2 linked regions of the Drosophila melanogaster genome follow. The protein of the gene in region 1 purifies or fractionates together with the protein of each later gene. This does not show direct contact. Each region holds a gene or a part of one and is shown on either strand. Other genes may lie near its edges. The genes, in order: SC35 and qkr58E-2.

Region 1 (5,502 bases):
ACTAGACCTGATTTGCGGTTATTTCACCATTTGGTGACACCTCTGTAGTGATTCTGGTCGTGATTCCTGGGCATCTCTGCGCTGAGCCACTGCTGGCGACACGACGACGAGAAAAGCGGCCAAAGAAAGGGCCCTGGCCGGACGAACTGTTTTTGCGCGCAGGCCGAAAGCGATTAGCCATTTGTTTAGCGGCACAATAATGCCCGCAATTCGAATAGAAGTCAAGCAACACATGCGACGCCGACGTCGGCAGTGCTGACGCAGATTGAGGTTATGTACTAGGGCCAGCGATAATAACCTAAACGGAACCTGGTGAATGCAACCTATCTTTGGGGTTTTCCCTATCCCATTCCCCATTGTTGTGTCTCTGCCAACGGTCTTGCGACCAGCAGGTAGCAACAATAACACGCTTCTTTGTTGACGTCACAGAAGAAGCGAGTTCAATGGACGTGGGGCATGTGTATTTGGCAGGGGGTATTTAGGTAGCTAGCAAGCTCTATTTACCATTGTTTGCGATTTTGTCCGAGGGGTTGAGACCATCGATGGGCGTTGGATCCGCCGCCGCTGCTCCTGCTGAAGGCGTGGTGGCTGGCGAACCCGGCGCTGGCGATGCGGAATTGGAGGATGATGTGGGCGGCTGTGCTGAGGGTGCTGCTGCCCCCGCCCCCTGTGCAGTTGGAGGCGGTGGAGCTGCTCCCGCTGTGGATCCCCCGCTGCCGACGGAATCGGGTGTGGTGGCTGGCGTGGCTGAACCGGAGGCGGGACCCGGATCCGCCGTCTCCTCGGCCGCAGCCGCTGCAACCACTACTGCCGCCGCCTCCTCAGCTACATTCACAACGCTGTTGTAACTGAAACTGGGCACAAATTCTACCGCGTTCACGTTCAGCGTTGAGAACTTTGTGCTGATCTCCGTGTTTTCCTGGGCGGCCATCGTTGCAGTGCGTCCGTAATCCTCCGCAGTGGTTTCCTCCGATGAAAATCTCTCTCTCGCTTTTTTCACGCGACGACACACTTTCGCCCTCCTTCTACAAACTGCTTCAGCTGCTTCTTCTTGCTGCTCCCGCACTCACACAGAACACACGCGGTCGTTCGGAATTCTTGGGATTGCCTATGGTAATGGAAATTGGGAATGGCAAAAGCAATGCCACCAACACACGCACGCCTTGATGGTTGTTGGCCGGGGGGGTGGCTTGTGGGGGGTTTAGGCCAGACTTTCGGCTCAATGTGGTCTACACTTTTGTTGTGACTCGGTGTTGTGTTTGTTGTTTGTGCTTTGCTAGCCTGGCCAACTCGGGTTGAACTCGAATTCCCTTTAATTTGATCGACTATCGCCTGTTTGGGGCAGTGGTGACCACCTGGTGATCTGCAGGTATGATTCGACTACCTGAACACTAAATGCAGTGCTCGGAACTAGCAATCTTCTATTATTTTACACGTTTTAAGCCACGCATCAAGTCAGGGTTGCCACTTGTATGCGGTGTTATCGGTGCATCGATATGTGCTGGCTGTCACAGTGGCCTATAATTGATTTGGGGCAAAGTATTAAGATATTTTTAAATTTTTTTAGTAAGATTTTTAATACTTTTAAAATTATTCAACATAAATAATTATATTGCTTTTGTACTTTGTTCTGATTAATATAATTTTTTAAGGCTAAATATAACGTAGTCCACATGTACATATATAAATACAAACTGTATTTGTTTTATGTGTGACTAGACATTAATAATTTTTTATTCACTTTCAGTGAGTTTTTATAATTATTAATTTAGTTATTTTGTATAATAGAAGTGTAATGCGAGTTTTGTAAATATTGATAAGTGTGTAGTGAGCCTTGGGGTTTCAATACATTTCTAAGCTCATCATCAATGGTATCGAATTACAATCGATGTTGTTCCAGCTCTAACGTCGTGCCAGACGCCATTTTAACAGTAGTGAAAAAATCGTCTGGAGTTTGGCTCGTTTTCAGCATTCGCATTAGCATTTTAGCGGTAAAACAAATATCCAAATAGACAATGAGCAACGGTGGTGGTGCCGGGGGATTGGGCGCAGCGCGTCCACCTCCACGGATCGATGGAATGGTCTCGCTTAAGGCAAGTATCTGCTAAGTAAAATGCGACTAAATCGCCCACAAAATGGCGGCCGGCTGGCAACGTTGTGTGGTTAGGTAACCTCTCCAAAAGCATGTAAATTAATCCGCGTGTAATTATGCCTACAGGTCGACAATCTCACATATCGCACCACGCCGGAGGATCTGCGTCGGGTCTTCGAGCGGTGCGGCGAGGTGGGGGACATCTACATACCCAGGGATCGCTACACACGTGAGAGCCGCGGATTCGCATTTGTTCGGTAAGCATTCACTTCTCTTCCGGGAAAATTGTGAAAGTCTTAGGTCTTTTTTGTTTTGTTACTTTCACTTGCCGGCGGTGGATTTTAATTATCATGGGACCTAAAATGTATCCATACATACTAGGAGTAAAATATATGTATTTCCCGAAAGTATACTGCGAAAATCATGCTATACAATCACTCGTCATATCCGCTTTCACTATCTACTTTATAATGTTTCATTGAAAACTAGCACATTGAGGAAAAATGTTATGTATTCCCTGAATTAATCAGGGTATGCAAGCAAATTACAAAAGTCTCAGAGTAATCATTTAAATATCATTTGAATATAGCTGCTATAATAAGTACGCCCCTTGTCTAAACTCAAATATTCCTCTCATTTCATTAGAACTATTTGCATTATTTGCTATCATCGATTGTGTATCAGTTGCTAATCTGTACACTTTCAGTAGCAAAATGGTGCCAGAACAAATGTGTTCACTTGCAACCGTTGCCTACTCAACATTTACTAGCCAACGTACAGAGAATACTACATCTAAATAATAAGTTCTAAAGTTATAGTTTCATAACATATGGCTTCAATGATACATTAAGTTGATACAAGGTCACTTATTCTATTTATTTGTTGTATCTACCTGCATTATTTGCCCCTTTTGAATGTGTAACAGCTTTCAGTCTGTACATCTTCTTTAGCAAAAGGATGCTAGATTGAATGTGTACACTTGCAACAGTTGCCTACCAAACCCCTGCTAGCCAACTTACCGTAAGCCCTACAATTAAATATAGACTTAAATATAAATAAACGTATGTGCAAAGTACACACGAATCTAGTTGATCATGTCCTTAATTTTTTAGCTTCTATGACAAACGTGATGCCGAGGACGCACTGGAGGCCATGGATGGTCGCATGCTAGACGGCAGGGAGCTCCGCGTACAGATGGCCCGCTACGGACGCCCCTCTTCGCCCACTCGCAGCTCCAGTGGTCGTCGTGGCGGAGGAGGAGGCGGTGGTTCCGGCGGGCGTCGTCGGTCACGTTCTCGCTCCCCAATGCGCCGTCGTTCGCGCAGTCCGCGTCGCCGATCATACTCCCGTTCCCGCTCGCCTGGTAGCCACTCGCCGGAACGCCGATCCAAATTTTCACGCAGTCCAGTACGCGGCGACAGCCGCAATGGAATCGGAAGCGGATCTGGAGGACTGGCCCCAGCCGCGTCTCGTAGTCGCAGTCGCTCCTAGATATCGACGTCACGTTCCATTTAGTGGGAGTGCGAGGTGAGTTCATATCGTGTAACGCTTCAGAAAAAGCTTTATATAAGGTTAAACATACCTTACGTTAAATAGGGATTATTTTAAAACTAGTTGTTCTTTGCTTTCAGATATGACTCGCTGACTAGGGCCAATGCTGTATCCTGTTCCGGATCTATGGCTCCATCTGTGTCATGCTGTACCCGAACAGCAGGTATAGAAACCATTATACAATCTTACACTTAACACAACTATTTATAGCGAACTATTTTAAGTTTCGGCAGAGTAAATAAGTAGAGATCAGGCATGATTATGTTCCGAGTGAGATCCCCGCAACCTGGGCGATCCCTCGATGTCGGTTCTTGCACATAGGCTTTCATATACTAGAGCGTAGTAGAAATCCTTGAACGTAATCAGAAACAGAACAAAATAAACTCAAATTAACACGGCTTCAATTCAATACCTAAATATCAAATGACAGACAGGACAGGAGGAGAATGAGAGGTGGATGAGTGATAGGAATACTCTAGGATTCTGTTTGTTTCGTTGCGATTCGATTCGATTGCGTTTGTGTTGCTCGTTTCCGTTCTTTGTACCTTTTAACGACAAACTTATTAACAAGCTTCTCCCACACGTTTATTATATATATGCAGGCGAATGGTGTGTGGCAGTTGTTGCGGTTCAGATAAGATTGTGGTTAAATCGCTCGCGATTAAGGATCAGCAGCAGCGCATCATCTAAGCTACAACTCCTTCCTCACGTAGGCGGACACCGCGTGGCTCCTGATTGTTGCTACTGCTGCTGCTGCTGCAGATGCTGATGCTGATGCTGCTGCTGTCGCATGATGCTGTTGCTGGTGCCGCTGATGCTGCAGTTGCAGTTGCCGTAGCCGTAGCAGCTTCCTGTTTCCTGTTAGACGCTGGCGCTGCCAAAGCTGCTCCAGATTCACTCATAGTTTCCCGTTTCCCGTCACTTCTTCTCTCGCCTCGTCTCGTCTCGTCTCAACTCGCGATTTGTTGCTGGTTGGCGTTGTTGGTGTTTTCCTGTATCTTGGTGGGCGTCCCTTTTGAGTTTAGGCGAAAAGTCATCATTTGCAGCAGAGGCCACATCGACGATGCGATGGATGCTAGAGTCTGGATTGCATACTGACTCGACCGAAATGTGGGATTCCCTAACGATCTGGTACATTCGGTAAGTGAGAGAGCTAACCCTTTGAATTTGCAGCCTAATTAAACGCTTCAATAAAGTTTTACTTGATTATAACTTAACCATCTACATATGTTATTAATTGGTTGAAATGGGGTTTTAAAACATATATGTATCTTGGAATATTGTAAAGAAAGATCTAGTATCTTCGGATGCCCAGAACATCCATCCATTATGTTTCGGTTTCTATTGACTCCCGAGAAACATGGTAGTCGGGGGGTATATTGACAAAGCAGTTGCCGGGAAACCGAAGGCAAAATCACATATACCCAAGTCCTTCTGAATACGATTCAGAAACCCTTTTACACTTTCATCTAAATTATATTGGTTTCTCCTGCAAAGATGATTCAGTACGATACTGTGCAGATCAAGAATGTATCATGGTAAGCTTTAGTTATGCCCGACTTGGCTCAAGATGACTATTGTGTGCTCTCAGGCAGCCGGAACTGCATACGGAGGGCACCTATGTGTGCTCTTTTCCAGAGCCCCCGCTGCCGGAGGCCCATCTGAAACCGGGCACCTGGCATGGCCATCTGGAGCCGTATCAGCGGCTCTTCTATCATCAAACGATGAACTCGGTGCGCTCGAGCAAGCGGTACCGTGCCAATCCGAACATCCCGAAGGATACGCTGGACTTTTCGCTGCAGTCGCGCTACGATCACACCCGCGAAGCATTTCCGGACAAGGTGGACTACGTGATGCAG
Region 2 (5,795 bases), on another chromosome or scaffold:
CTGGCTTCTTGTGAGTATGTTAGTAGTCGTCCAATTAATGAAGATGATTTACTGGTTGCTGTTCGGTTTAGTTGATTTGGCCTCTGTTCAGGCATAGTGCATTTAAAATCTTGTTAAAATGGGATGGGTTGCCGTTTTAATAATTTTGGTACGCGGCCTTGTTTCTTTTTCTTTTTTGGTTTCTGTTTTTTTCTGCGTTTTCAATTTATCGGCGCTTAGTTGGATAGATTTTGTTTTGTTTTCGAGTTTTTTTTTTGTTTTGATTTGCGCGAGTTAAGTTTAAACGTTTACATTGCTATTTGTCGTATTCTTTTTCTTTTCTTCATTTTGTTTATTTTTACATGCCTGCTGAGGGGAAGAGATTATTGGTCTAGAAATCTAGGTATCTTACCTGGATAGGCCGCCGCGTAGGAAGAGGAGGACGAGTGGGGGTGATACTCACGCCGATAGTCGCGCTCGTAGGAGCTACTGTCATACTGGGCGTGGTGGGTCGAGTGCTTTGATGTTTGGGGCGGCGGTGTGGCATAGCGATCATATTCTCCATGGTGGTCATATAGCTCGTGGTCCCGTGATCTGTTGAAAAAGTAAGGGATTAAAGGAGGGTTTTCTAACAATGGTTGATAACACAGATGCACGCTATTGAAAGCATAAGAATTTAACTTCTAAAGGCATCATTAACGCGATTGAACTTAGCTAACCTGTGCGTCTTTACGATCCCATAGTTGGGATCGTCCATCACATATCGAGCCTTCTCCAGAATCGAATAGACTTTGGGCTTTGAAGAAGCAGGGGGCGGGGTGCTGTGACGAAAGGAATTCCTTAGTAACCAATTAAAATTCAACGAAAATTGACAAGCCTACCGGGAACTGTAGGCGCCATGATCGCCATAGGATTTGGAATAGTGGTGAGACTTCTTGTACATGCGCTCCTTGCCATCCATCTCGCGTAGTTGCTCCAACCGAATGTCGTCGTTGGCGTCGGGTATCATAAACTTGCGGATCTCGCCTAGCGCATAGCTGATCCTGTGATAGGCCTCCGCTGGAGGGGCCACCGTGGATATCTCCACGTGCAAATCGCGGCTGAGATGGGCGTACTTTGGATTTCCGGAGCTGCGAAGCTCCTCCTCCTTACCGTGGTCGCGCATCGAGTTGCGCCCCATAACCACCATTTTGCACATAGTCTCTTCCTGCAGCTGCCGCAGTGTGTTGCCCTTGGGCCCCAGGATCTTGCCAACGAAATTGAACTTGGGGTACTCCTTGATGGGGAACAAGACTTTCTGGGCCACGCGGATGGGCTTTTCGCTGTACACGTTGGCATATATCTCGGGCTTTGGTATGCGTCCGCTGACCAAGATCTTCTCCACCTCTGCGGGGCCATGAAAAATTGCAATTAGATCCACTATAGCTTACATGTCGCAGCGCCTAACTCACCGTCGTCAAGTAAGCGCTTGGTGATGATGTGCTTCTTCTCGAGCGTCTTCTTTTCCAGCAGGCACTCCTGCAGATACGCGTTGGTCTTCTCATTCAGCTGGGGCGTGTCCCGCAGGGCGGCGTGGCTGGTGGTGTGTCCGCCGCCATCCGCCTCAGGGGTCTCTGGAGCACCGGTAGCCGCTGGCTCCTCGTCGCGTCGCTTCCGCTTGTAGTCGGCGGCGTCCTCGTTGTAGTCTCTGTCGTAGTCGCGCGGCATTGCGTTTTGTAGGATTTCTGGCCTGGAGGATTCGTGAATTTTAAAACTCCTACTCTTGAATACAAAATTCTACTATTGCAGAATTAGTTGGCTGAAAAAATATGTATGTGGTAGGACATCGATAGGTAAATCGGCATCACCGATTCGATAGCGTATTATCGGTTACTGCCGATAACAACCCGCCATCATGTGCATTAGTAGTTTATGACTTATCAATTTTATTAAAAACTTTCCCATAACAAAGAGAGCATTTAAATTATATTTGTAATTTAAAAATCACTAAGTGCATATTATAAATTATTGCCATGCACCTGACGACGCATCTATGTTAATATATAGCGTTAGATAGTGTCTGCAAGCCGATAACAACTATGCGCCCTTAACAGCACCGTCGATTGGCAGCGAACAGCACGCTGCAGAAGCACGAGAGACAGCCCGAGAGACCGGAGTTGCCGGACCGAGCCGCTGACATAGTAAATGTCCGAATAAAATACACACTTGGAAAAAGAGAGAAAAATTAGGGCCATTGGGAAGGCTGAAGTGTGCTAAGTTAGCAATCATACCGAATCGACAGCAAAAGCGATCGCCCGCAATCTGCGCACGGAAAATCCGAGACTCGGCGACTTAGCAGGACGATAGAGCGACAGCGATCCCGAAGGCAGGACGACAAATGGCGGAGAACGGACTGCGCGTGCCAGGGTCATCCGCGGTGGCCTCTGCGGTGGCTTCCACTGCGACGGGAGTCGGCGGTGGATCAGCAGCGGGAACTGCGGGGGCCGGGACAGGAGTGGTGCCCACCGGCGTCAGCGGCGGGACGAGCAACGGGGAGCATGAGAACGAACACAACGCCAACGCAGACGGCGAGAAGGCCCAGCCGGCGCCGGCGGTCCAGAAGTACATGCAGGAGCTCATGACGGAGCGATCGCGCATGGAAAACCACTTCCCCCTGGCGGTGAAGCTAATTGACGAAGGTAAATTGATTTGTCAGGGGCACTTCATGGTAATTACTTTGATTTCCCTCTGTTTTTGCAGCTCTGGAGCGTGTGCAGCTAAACGGACGCATTCCCACGAGAGACCAGTACGCCGATGTCTACCAGCAGCGCACCATCAAGCTGTCCCAAAAAGTGCACGTGCCCATCAAGGACAAGAAGTTCAACTATGTGGGCAAGCTACTGGGGCCCAAGGGCAACTCACTGCGTCGCCTGCAGGAGGAGACGCAGTGCAAGATCGTCATACTTGGTCGCTTCTCAATGAAGGATCGCGCACGTGAGGAGGAGCTGCGCAACTCCGCGGACGCGAAGTACGCCCACCTGAATCTTCCTCTGCACGTCGAGGTGTCCACCATTGCTCCGCCCGCCGAGGCGTACGCTCGGGTGGCGTATGCCCTGGCCGAGATTCGGCGGTACCTCACGCCGGACAAGCACGATGACATCCGCCAAGAGCAGTACCGCGAACTCATGGAGGATCCGGAGGCGGCCAAGAAGCTGACGCTTCGCCAGCTGCAACAGCAGTCGAATGCGGCAGCTAGTGGTGCAGGAGGAGGAGGCGGTGGTGGAGGCGGAAACGGAAATGGCGGCGCAGCTGGATCCGGCAGCAATAATGGCAATGGGAACCAGCGCTCCGGCGGCAACTACAGGTGGGTTGCAGTTCAATGTCCTCTACGAGCCTCGAGTCTAGCTAAACTCCCATGTTTCTTACAGACAAAAGTTTCAGCAACAATCACACTATCGCCACAACGAGGAGACTGTCTATTTTCGCTCACACAACAATGCGTACCACCAGCCAAAACCCTATGTGCCAGGTAAGTCTGGGCTCTCCTGGTCCATAGACCATAGATTCTATGTTCGCTTTTGCAGCCGCCCAACGGGGCAATGCCATGCACACCACCTTGCCACCGCAAGCAATTGTGCGAGCCTCACCGCCCGGAATGGTCGTCAGTGCGGCCAGCTTCAATGGCCGAAATGCCGGACTGGGTAATGCCGGCGGTGGCGGAATCATGGCCAATAGCATCGTGGCCACCACTGGCGGTGGCATCGGTGGCGCTGTGCCGCCTAACATGCGTTACCGTCCCGCTGCCCCCTACCAGTTTGTCAAGAAATAATACAGATGGGAGGATGCACCGCCCGCTGCCGTTCGCTGTTTGTTCAACTATTCCTCACCATCATTGATGCCTCATCCGGAAGTATTCACGCCCATCTGTCATACCCATCCAAACACCCACAACCACACACAGCTCCAAAGGTAGATGTAGTAACTATGAGAACATTGGAAACTTGTCATGCATTGATTTCATCAAGATTTCGGCAGGGTGGAAACCAAAACGAAACGAATGAGTAAATCTATGTTTAAGAAAACTAGCCTAAGTAGACAAATGCTCCGAGGAACAGACGAACACCTCAGCCACCCAACCAAAACCAAAACTAACCGACCAGACAAACACCCACCACCCCACACGCACGCAACCTCTTCTCGAGGATTGGGTTCGAAGGATCACGAGGGTCTGCGATCTAAGACTTTGGAATCCGTGTGTTGGGCCCTGCGAGCATTTGGAAGAGAAGAATTGAAGAAGAAGAACGAGGAGGAGGTGGAGAACGCCTCGATGTTGGATCGGGCCGAATCGAATGGACGCATTCAAGGTTGGTCCCAGTCGAGCCAAATGTCCTTGTTTTGTTTTGTCGCATATTATTAACATTTTAATTTTACCACTGACGCGTGCGAAGATTTCATCACTTTGTAATTTATATAAATGAATATATATATCTCCTTATGCTTACTATCATACGTATCCTTCTCGCAGTCGCTTTAACTCTATTGCTTTTCCAACTCTGCGTTTAAGTTTATCCCATTTTTTGTTGTAATGCGTTTTGTATTATGTTTACGTTTAGAAGAGGAGGCTTCTTATTTTTATTTGTTACGTCGCCAGGACAGAAAAAGCAACTGCAAACGATCATGAATAATATATATAACAAGTATATACAAGCGGTATGATTTATAACACATAGTGCATATGCAACACCACACGATCATACGCGCGTACGCATATTCAAAACATCAGCATATTCACCTAAAGCCGTAAAGTTTAAACCAAATGAACATTAGAAACGCAAACGAGAATCTAAAACACAGATCGGAGCAGGAGACCGATTTCGCCTACGATAATGCAAATGCAACGGACATAGCAAACCACATACGATCAGAGAAAATATGCAAACACATACATACATACATAATTGTTATTGTTGTTAAAAGCAACTAAAATTGTAATAGAAATTATGCAAATATACATACGAATATGACGACAAATGTTAATTGCAGCCTAGTTATTATTTTGTTCATTCACACCCACATCGGAACGGAACCTAAGATATAGTCTTAAATAAAGAGAGAGTGCAGCCAGCAGATCCGCACGGACTAGGCCTAGATCTAGACCTTGTTGACGATGCTTCTACAGCCACAAGACACACGAAACTTGAACACAGCCCTATTTGTATTGATTTTGAACATTGAACACACTGCATGTAAACCCCATACACATATATGTAAACGTACGAAAGTACTGTGCATCATTATGTATTGCTGATTATCGTTAAATAAATTTCCAATTTGAATTTCCCAGACTCATTATTACAAATTGAGTCGTGAGCGTACAGCAAGCAAACCGCATCGTTGTGGTAAATAACAAATCATTTAACTTTATTGGCTAACAAATACAGGACACTCGCTCTCTACAAGGCCTTCACGAGCTGCATCAGCGAGTAGGGGTTCTTGTTGCTCATGAACTTGAGCTGCTCCTCGAATCCCTGCGGCGTCTTGTTGATCCAGTGTCGGTCGAGATAGTAGCTGATGTAGCTGTGGAATTCCTTGTCCGTGTAGTTTTCCACATGGATGGGCACAAACGGATCTAGATGCTCGAAGCCCTCCTTGCCGAGCAGATAGCGCGGCATATAGGAGTCCATGTGGCCCTCAGTCATTGCGATCTTGTCCACGGACAGGATGCATACTCCGTTTGTCCAGTCGTAGTTGGTGATGTCGAGGAAGGGCTGTGTGAGCGTGACCCGATCCGGAGTCACGAGCTGCTTGTTGTCGGAGAAAATGCGAGTAACCGGATG

The links.
Region 2: the proteins of SC35 (region 1) and qkr58E-2 purify together in Drosophila melanogaster (affinity purification with western blotting, with the first as the bait; one study listed by BioGRID). This does not show direct contact.

Annotation. Positions count from the first base shown.
Region 1 is NT_033779.5:12,430,426-12,435,927, reverse strand, and holds SC35 (SR family splicing factor SC35), read left to right. Parts: upstream 1-1,889; 5' UTR 1,890-2,015; coding exon 2,016-2,093; intron 2,094-2,218; coding exon 2,219-2,349; intron 2,350-2,747; exon of another isoform or gene 2,748-2,903; intron 2,904-2,977; exon of another isoform or gene 2,978-3,130; intron 3,131-3,204; coding exon 3,205-3,583; 3' UTR 3,584-3,619; intron 3,620-3,723; 3' UTR 3,724-4,853; downstream 4,854-5,502. Other genes in the region: eRF3 (eukaryotic translation release factor 3), read right to left, coding at 505-931; CG5435 (uncharacterized protein), read left to right, coding at 5,141-5,181, 5,235-5,502.
Region 2 is NT_033778.4:22,413,710-22,419,504, forward strand, and holds qkr58E-2 (quaking related 58E-2), read left to right. Parts: upstream 1-2,099; 5' UTR 2,100-2,356; coding exon 2,357-2,657; exon of another isoform or gene 2,658-2,718; coding exon 2,719-3,322; intron 3,323-3,386; coding exon 3,387-3,487; intron 3,488-3,542; coding exon 3,543-3,787; 3' UTR 3,788-3,927; intron 3,928-3,983; exon of another isoform or gene 3,984-3,993; 3' UTR 3,994-5,292; downstream 5,293-5,795. Other genes in the region: qkr58E-1 (quaking related 58E-1), read right to left, coding at 392-573, 699-800, 861-1,365, 1,431-1,686; mRpS29 (mitochondrial ribosomal protein S29), read right to left, coding at 5,412-5,795.